Linked DNA regions of Cricetulus griseus. The protein of the gene in region 2 interacts with the protein of the main gene of each other region in a pairwise test. Links are inferred from orthologs where the notes say so. Each region holds a gene or a part of one and is shown on either strand. Other genes may lie near its edges.

Region 1 (4,816 bases), on a different chromosome or scaffold from region 2:
GGGATCAGACAGACTGCTTTTGCCATTGGTATCAGGAGAGGTGTCCAGATGTACAAAGTCTCTTGCTGCTGTTCAGAGAAAGGGTAAGTAAAATGAAGGGCAGAGGGCCTCCTGATCCCAAGGTTTTTATGATCCCAAGCCAGCCTTGTTACACACACCTGGAGTCACAAACTCATACACTTTATGAGGATCAAAAGGGTCCTTGCTCTTGTCATCAGCTAATCGCAACACTTCTTTCCGGTTCAGGGCTGACCGGAAGTTCCTCTTCCAGGTTGACAGGTCTGGCTTATCCTTTCCTGGGGTGTAGGCACCACTGGCTTCGGCCCAGGCCTGACAAACCAGTGATTCCAGAATAGGAGGGGAAACGACTTAGACTCTGCCTTTAGGTCCTGACACCTCCCACCATGTTCCATCTTGTGGTTTGAGACTGGGCCCCTACACCTTCCATCCTCATCTTTATCTACTATTTCCTGCACCAAAAGAAATCCTTTTTAACCTGGCAGTGGTGGCGCATGCCTTTAATCCTCAGCATTTGGGAGGCAGAGGCAGGCAGATCTCTGTGAGTTGGAGACCAGCCTGGTCTACAAGAGCTAATTCCAGGACAGCCTCCAAAGCCACAGAGAAACCCTGTCTTGAAAAACAAAATCCTTTTTGGTTTTGAAACAGGGTTTCTTACACAGCTGAACTCCTGCTGATGCCTCCAGAGTGCTAGGATTACAAACTGTGCCACCTTCTCAGCCTTCAAGCCTTTTTTTTTTTTTTTGTTGGGGGGCGGTTTGAGACAGGGTTTTTCTGTATTGCTTTGGAGGCTGTCTTGGAACTAGCTCTTGTAGACCAGGCTGGCTTCAAACTCACAGAGATCTGCCTGCCTGCCTCCCGAGTGCTGGGATTAAAGGTGTGTATCACCAACGCCCGGCTCCAGTCTCTCATTCTATTACTACCTCTAGTCCATGCTATGTCAATGACTCCATCCATAAGGCATTCTCAGACCTTAAGATTTAAGGGTTCTAAAATCAAGAGCCCACCCCCAAAGATCTCCCATCCTCTGCAGCTGTAATTATCAACCTTCTTAATACTGCAGCCTTTTAATACAGTTCCTGCTGTAGTGACCCCAACCATAAAATGATTGTCGTTACTACTTAATAACTGTAGTTTGCTACTGTTATGAATCGTAATATAAATATCTGATCTGGCCGGGTGTTGGTGGTGCACGCCTTTAATCCCAACACTCGGGAGGCAGAGGCAGGCGGATCTCTGTGAGTTCGAGACCAGCCTGGTCTACAAGAGCTAGTTCCAGGACAGCCTCCAAAGCCACAGAGAAACCCTGTCTCGAAAACCCAAAAAAAAAAAAAAAAAAAATCTGATCTGAGACCCTCAAGTTGAGAAACACTGCTATAGCCGGTCCTTAAGCAATCCAAACTTAATTTCCGGGTTATAGTCTTGTAATCTGCTGATCCGTTCCTGTCTATCCCTCCCAGTCCTACCCACCTTCATTAGCAAGACCCCGCCCCTGCCTAGCCACGCCCAGGAACGCCTCTCCAAAGTCTTCCAAAGTCTTTCAAAGTCTTTGGCCCCCAGCACCTGGAAGATGCCAAAGTCAGCCATCTGGGCGTCCTGCCGCAGGCCATGCTTCCAGGGGATCCGGAACCGAGTGCGGCTCTCATCCAGCCAGGCCACGCCTTTCAGCTGCCCCAGGTCCAGCTGCGACACCAGCCAGGGCAAGATCCGCGGTTTCGGGGTTCCCATGCTCGGGCCTGCGCACACAGGGCAGTTCCTAAAGCCTGCGTGTCAAGGGGCAAACGCACTGAAACCTCCTTGACCCGTCACGGCGCAAATCTTTCACTCATGCTTTCGTGGGGGCACAAACGGAAAAGCCCTTCCGCCCTTTCATAGCCAGTGGGGCCGTCTTCGGTAGAAACTCTGTACCTACCCATCAGTTCCTTCTCTGTTAGCCAAAGCAGGTACCCCGCTTCTAGGGTGGAGCCCTCTTTCCCTAGTCTTTCCAAGACTGACTGCTCCCTCACCCACAGTTCCCTTGCACCGAAAACCCTGGCTTATTTCCAGAGTATTCTCTCAAGTGCAGTCGCCTGTTTCCAGGCTTCTTCTATTTTGATTTTTCTATATTCTTTTTATGGATGCTTTGAGACAGGGTCTTAGTACGTAGCATAGGCTGGTCTTCAACTGCAACCCAAACTGGCCTGGGACTCTCTGTGTGGCCCAAGCTGGCCTCGGATTCCACTGTAAACAAAGGTAGCCTCAAACTTATCCAGGAGCCCAGGCTAGTCTGCAGCTCATCCTGAGGTCCAGACTGGCCTTGAATTTCCAGCAGTATCGCTACCTTCAGCCCGAGTGCTGAGAGACTGCAGGCCTGCGTCTTCATCGCGCGGCCCTTTGGTTCTCGGTAGCCGAGCTCCTGAGGCCGCCACCCTCCCGATTCTTCCGCGTTACCTACCGGGGAGGAATCGCGCGCTCGTGGGGCGCCGGGGCCAACACTGGCTTCAGGGCTCCCAGTGGTTCTGAGTCTCGCAGCCACGCACCCTTCCCCTCCTGTCAGCTAAGCCTCCGAGCGCTGGGACTGTCTTTTCTAACGATATTTTGGGATGAAAACAATTTTCTCATAATTTGGGTAAGAAACGCAAAAGCCGAGAGAGCACCTCTGGGCGCCACCCAACTCTCTCAATGCCCTTTTTTGGACTTCCGCCCATAGGCATGCTGGGAACGCCATATGCAAATGAGACTGCAACACAACGCCACGCCCCTTCAACGTTGGGGCGGTTAGCAGGTCGGCCCAGTGCGCAGGCGCGGGAAAGTTGAATTTACCAAGAAAAGTTTGATGAAATTGAGTGAAACCGTGGGAGCCGGCGCCGGCGCGACTAGAGCAGAGCCCCAAACCAGGTGAGCGGGGTGCCAGGGAGGGACTAGAACAGAAAGGGAAGGGAACCAGTTGCACGAGCGGCCACAGTCAGTCCTGCCTCTCTGAGTCCGAGCACCCAGAGGCTCTGGTGCTAGCCGAAGGTAGTTGGAACTACATCTCCCAGCAGGCTGCTCGGCGAAAAAGCGGGGAAATCGGGCCAATGTGTACCGCCGAGCGTACTGGGATTGGTAGTTCTCTATCCCCTAAGGACTTAGATACCTGGATGAGTGCATCTTTCAGCATTCAGGGCTGAGAGTTCCAAACCCCATTCCCTCTCCTGGATGTAGGAGTTTAAGCACTCAGCTACCTCCTGTCTTAAACCCTTCTTTCTCCAGCCCCCTTTTCCTCCACGGAATCAACTCTGTCTCACTGACCAGCCTTCTGTCTCCCGAGTTCTGGCACCCTGTTCATTCAGGGACTCAGAAGTTTGAGCTTGTCACCACACTTGGGTTCATGCTCTGTTTTCTCCCTCAGGTGCCTCCATGGCCGGCTCTGAAGATCTGGGGCTCCGAGAGGACACACTTAGGGTTTTGGCTGCCTTCCTTAGGCGCGGTGAAGCTGCTGGGTCCCCTGTTCCAACTCCACCCAGGTGAGTGAGTGTCCATTCCCCCAGGGCCAGCTTTTGACTGGAAGGTCTTCCTGAGTCTTGGTACTGGTCCCAGCCTGTCTCCTTTCAGATCTGACCCCATATGCCTATCTCGAGTTTGAAGAGTGATCTTCCATGGGGTCACTCCGAGGTTCTTGTCCCCAGGAACCCTGCCCAAGAGGAGCCAACAGATTTCCTGAGCCGCCTCCGAAGATGTCTTCCTTGTCCCCTTGGGAGAGGAGCCCCTCCCCTGGAGTCCTCTCGGCCCTGCTTCCTTCCCCTACGCCCCTGCTATGGCTCCCAGCCTGGTAAGAGATTATCCAGATCACCTGTGAAGCTTTAATGGGTAGGAGCTTTGGTTAGGAAAATCCAGACAGTACCTGTTGCAAGGTGAACACTGCTCAGTTTTTTTTTTTTTTTTTTTTTTATTTTGGCTTGTTTTTTTTTTTATTAAATTATTAATATTTTCACATGTACTTTCCCTCTCCCTCTCCCTCCCCCACCCCCAGAACACTGCTCAGTTTTAGCACAAGCCATAACTATTCCCCTCCTCTGTTAGACTTCTTTCTAGGCATAGTCACACTTGCTGGAGCCCTCCTGCATCAGCCTACCTTATACTGGAATCACAGGCATGCATCATTAGAGCCTCAGCTTAGATTTCATTTTTGTTTTTGTTTCTTTGTTCTTGAGACAAAGAAACCCAGGGTTTCTCTGGGTATGTTTGGCTGTCCTGGAACTCATTCAGTAGACCAGGCTGGCTGAAAACTCACAGGGATCACGTGACTTTGCCTCCGAATGCTGGGATTAAAGAGCCACCACTGCCCAGATTTCTGCTTAGAATTCTACCTGTCAGTTCTGTGGTTGGCCAGTGGGGTGAGGGGTGGGGGTTGGAGGGTTGAGGGTTGTGCTCTGGTACCCGTCTTAGCTAATTACATCTTTCCTTACATAGTGCTTCCCTGGCTCTTAGGGAAGACTTCTGTGTAGCCCCAGTACCCTAGCACATAAGACAGGAGCCATGGTTGTTAACCACAGCTCATTGGCTAGTTGGTAATCTGACTGAGCAAATTATTTCTCCTCCTTGCTCCTTGTTTTAAAGTAGCAGAGAAAGACTGTAAGAAGGGGTATTAATATTTGATTAATGATGATCAATAGCCCTGGGTGTGGGGTGCATTGCTATCATCAGCACTGGGAGACTGAGGCAGGAGGATTGCTGTGGGCTTAAGGCTAGCCTGGATTACAGAAAGCTAATGAGTCAGTAGAGTGCCTGCTTAGCAAGCAAAAAGCCCTGTATTCAGTTCCCAATAGCACATGAGGCA
Region 2 (4,283 bases):
TGGTTAGCGCATTTGGGAATTGTTTGTGAATGTGTTTAGTTATGTCTTAGACTGATTTACCACTTACTCACTATTCCTTGCTGTATTCAGAGTCTGGCTACACCTTTACATTTGTTACTTAACCATTGTCGACATTTGTTTCTTCAAATTCTAATAAATGAAATCATACATGGCGTTAGCTTTCAAAACACTGGTGTGACAAAAAATAACCTGTGGAAAACAATGTAAATTATTTTAACTCACAACTTAAGAGGATTTGGCCGATATCAGCTGTATTTTCAGGTTGTCAGTTGTGGTAAGGCCTTTAACAGCCTGAAAATAACTTTGTGGAAAGGTGTGGTGGGGGTTGGGGGTTGAATACCCTAGGTCTAAGATTTTAATCCTTTCCTTGTTTGAATTTGGTTTTGTACTATTCTTTCCCCTTGCAACAGGGATGTTAACCTGTGCCTGTCCCGCTGTTGTATTGAAAGTATGTAACTTAGTTTTGATTTTTCCAGAGCTCATAGCTAATAGTTTGCTTTGAGTCTCAGGAGACTAGATTTGAACTTTTCAGCAATACTAGAATTGTTATTGCAGAAATTACATATCACCTTATTCAAAGAGAGGGGTGTAGAGGAATGAGTTACGCTTGGTAACTTTATACGTGCACCCACTTTCCTCCTGTAGGAGATACTCCATGAGCCCCAACACAAGTCATTTATTTGGGTTTGTTAGAATTAGTATCATTGATCATTGGTCTGCAGTTTTACCACTCAGTAGCCAATAGTAATCCTCAGCTATATTTTCTGCCTCAGTTTACCTAACTGGCGCTGTTCAGAGAACAGGGTGTGGCTAGTGCTTTGTCCTCTTGTTTCTCTTGACTGGCACTGAATTCCTGTCTTTATGATGCTACAAAGAGAAACTGACACCTAGGCCTTTGATAAGCCAGTGAGTATGATCTCCTTGCCATAAGTTTTGTTTTGTGTACTAGTGATTGTTCTACAAATTTTAGACTGTCCAGCAAACAGGAACATTGTGGAGATGTTAAAGCATTTCAAAGAATACGTAGCTCAGCCCTTTGTAGGAGTGGAAGAAGCTGAAGCTGAGGCACATTGTGATGTATACATAGCAATCTGCAGCAGAGTCAGGCTAGTAGCAACTCCGCATTGTCGTCAGGTTGTCTTTCCTGATTTAAGGGGAGACATTGGTTTTTCAGCCTATAAAATAATAAAAGATATGACAAGTAATAAACTTATAACACATGCATAAGCACATGATAGGAATCTTAATAATACCGGGATTATAAAGTGTGGTAGATGCATTTGTACAGTTCTGGTTATGTTCAAAAGTAATTGTATAATTAAAATGAACCATATGAAATTTTTCTTTAAAAATAAGTGGGTGTATGGAGAATTTACTCTAATTTGAATATGTAAGATCAGTCTCTAATTTTGTTGTTGTTCTTTCATTCTCTTTCAGAAAGATGAGGTCTACCTTAATCTGGTGCTGGACTATGTTCCGGAAACAGTGTATAGAGTTGCCAGACACTATAGTCGAGCCAAACAGACACTCCCTGTGATCTATGTCAAGGTGTGTAACAATGGAACGACTTCCAGTTTACCAAACATTTAATATGAACCACGCAGAGTATTGGGTTTGTTTCAACTTGTCAACACTGCTTTTACTCCTCAGAGAAGCAGCAAACTCTAGATTTTGTTAGTTCTGACTTGATTTTGAAACATAGAGTTCCCTTTAAAGCCTTCATTACTCTGCAGTGGATAAAGGTGCTTGCTGTGCAAGCCTGGTCATTTGAGTTCTATGGGACGTACATACAGGTAGAAGAGAACCAACTCTATAGAGCCCTCTAAACCTCCACATGCATGCCAGGTTTTATGTGCCCCACCTCAGACACATCATGTTGGCACACACATGCACATGAGATAAGTGAATTGAAATGGATATTCTGATAAGATGCAGTTAAACTTTCATGGTTAGGGGTTTTAATTGTGATAGCCATAACACCTTGTGTGTGGGGTGCAGGGTGAGGCACAAGTGAAGACCAGAGGAGGAGGATGTGCTCCCTTCCCCATAGCCTCCCACCTTTGCCTTGAGAAGGCCTCTTACATAAGCTTATGACTTGGGCTGGTCTGAACCTCCCTCCCCATGCAGTGCTGGGGTAACAGCCAAGTGCAACTAGTCCCACCTTTTTACACAGGTGCCAGAAATCCAAACTGAGGTTTTCGTGTGTGTGCAGCAAATACTCTAACCCAGTGAGACATCTCCCAGCCCCATAACATCATTTTAGTTTTAGATGTCTTCATTGTGCCACACACCAAAGCAGGAACCTACTAGGTAAATTTACAGTTATTAATATACTTATTTAATGCTTTATTACCATTTGTAGACACTTATTACATTCATTGTACAAATTTAAACTTGTCAGTTTTAAACACAAGCCTTAGGATGGTACCCAGCACAGTGTTGGTTGTTTTTGGTGCTGTTGTTCTTTTGCTCATTGTAGTGCAGGAAGCCTTTCAACTTTCTTCATAAAAGTACATTTTTATAAAGTAGACCAAAGGCCCCCCCCCCAAAAAAAGATGCAGTCTCATTTCATTCTTAAACTTTACTTTTCCAAGACAAATGAAAAGAACAGTGATGAGATATCTTTAAATGAATCTTAAACTGCTAAGGACATCTTTTGTAAGAAAATGTCTTTCACCGAGTTTTGTTAATCTAAATATTAATACCCTGAAACAGCTAAATCTTTCCTTTGATGCCCATGAACTCTCTTGGTTATAGATCATTTGGTTGGAGATAATGAATTCAGCTACCAGAGTAAGCTTTGGAACTTAAAACTTGATTCTGTAAATGAACAATGATACAATAATAGTTACAAAGCCTTTAAAAAGATTAATAGGTATCTAAATGCTTTACTTCTGATTTAATTAGAAAATGTTGACATTGAAGATCTTAGGTATACATTTTTGTCATGCTTCATTTTGAAGAAGGCTCTAACTTGCATAGCTTGATTTCAGATTCACATTAAACATGTACTGTTAACATGTCCAGCCTTAGCAGTTTCATTATGCTTCTAAAGAAAAGTGGCTTTCCTGTGAACTTCAATAATGCCAGTCCCCAACAATATATCCAGAAAAGACAGGGTCTTTTGTCAGTACCTCAGCTGACCTTTAATCTTTTTATTGGCTTTTTGTTGTTTTGTTTTTGTTTTTTGAGACAGGGTTTCTCTGTGTAGCTTTGAAGGCTGTCCTGGAACTCACCCTGTAGACCAGGCTGGCCTCAAACTCACAGAGATCCGCCTGCCTCTGCCTCCTGAGTGCTGGGATTAAGGATGTACACCACCATTGTCTGGCTGTTCATTTTTTTTTTTTTTCCTTAGTCAGACACTGTGTCTTTGATTGGAATCATTGCAGCAATTGTTTCCATGGTGTTAATCAGGGAGTAGAGCTCAGAAAGTGAGCATGTAGAAAAAATTTAAAATGAATCTGGTTGAGTGTAGTGGTACATATCTATAATCTTAGCAATTTGGAGTAAGACAAAAGAATGACAGGATCAAGACCAGCTTGTATACAACAGGAGTAGTATGTCCTGGAAGAGATTAAAAATGAATAAATCAATAACTAAGAAATAAGTAAACAAATAATAAGTAAATAAATAAATAAGGAAGAAAGGAAGTAACGAAGGGAAAGAGTCACAACACTGGCCTTGGAATAAATAGAATATTGAAGGTGTTACATCGGTATGTTTTCTTAAAGTTTTAAGGGTATTTCTCTGGTTGCTCTGACAAAATTCCAGACAAAGGCAACTCAATGAAGGAAAGGTTTATTTTGGCCTAATAGTTCTGGAGGATAGGGTGCATCGAGGTAGGGAAAGCAAGGTGAGAGAACATGGGATAGTGGGTCACTCTCAGAGGATATATCGTGTGTGAGCTCTGAAATTTGCTCTATAGGCCAAGCCATCCTTGGACTCAGAGACCCCCCTGGCATCTGTTTTTAGGTGGCATTGCAAGTCTACATTATTCTGAAGGTTATTAATACTACTTATTAGCAGAGTTACTGATGTCTGAAAAGGCAATTGATTAGATTTCTTACTTTACCTGTGAGTTTTCCTGGCTTCTATTATATGATTTTGGAGACTAACCTTTCAGAAAGATAAATGATACTAAAAATGACACTATGCTTTTACAGCCTGAGATACTAGAAAGAATAATGAACATGGTTTATCATCTAAAGGCTGCTATCTATCACTCATAGACTATGGTCGGTCTCTCCCTCTGAGCTCTTCAT

Evidence for each region.
Region 1: the proteins of Gsk3b (region 2) and Bcl2l12 interact in a two-hybrid assay, tested with the Homo sapiens proteins (2 studies listed by BioGRID and IntAct). The link is inferred for Cricetulus griseus from reciprocal best matches to the Homo sapiens genes GSK3B and BCL2L12.

The regions. Positions count from the first base shown.
Region 1 is NC_048599.1:153,882,986-153,887,801, reverse strand, and holds the start of Bcl2l12 (bcl-2-like protein 12), read left to right. Parts: upstream 1-1,781; intron 1,782-2,452; exon of another isoform or gene 2,453-2,703; intron 2,704-2,707; 5' UTR 2,708-2,895; intron 2,896-3,388; 5' UTR 3,389-3,396; coding exon 3,397-3,503; intron 3,504-3,591; exon of another isoform or gene 3,592-3,603; coding exon of another isoform or gene 3,604-3,665; coding exon 3,666-3,808; intron 3,809-4,816. Other genes in the region: Irf3 (interferon regulatory factor 3), read right to left, coding at 1-68, 159-330, 1,489-1,746.
Region 2 is NC_048597.1:51,926,997-51,931,279, reverse strand, and holds part of Gsk3b (glycogen synthase kinase-3 beta), read left to right. Parts: intron 1-1,458; coding exon 1,459-1,569; intron 1,570-4,283. UniProt on the Homo sapiens protein: Constitutively active protein kinase that acts as a negative regulator in the hormonal control of glucose homeostasis, Wnt signaling and regulation of transcription factors and microtubules, by phosphorylating and inactivating glycogen synthase (GYS1 or GYS2), EIF2B, CTNNB1/beta-catenin, APC, AXIN1, DPYSL2/CRMP2, JUN, NFATC1/NFATC, MAPT/TAU and MACF1.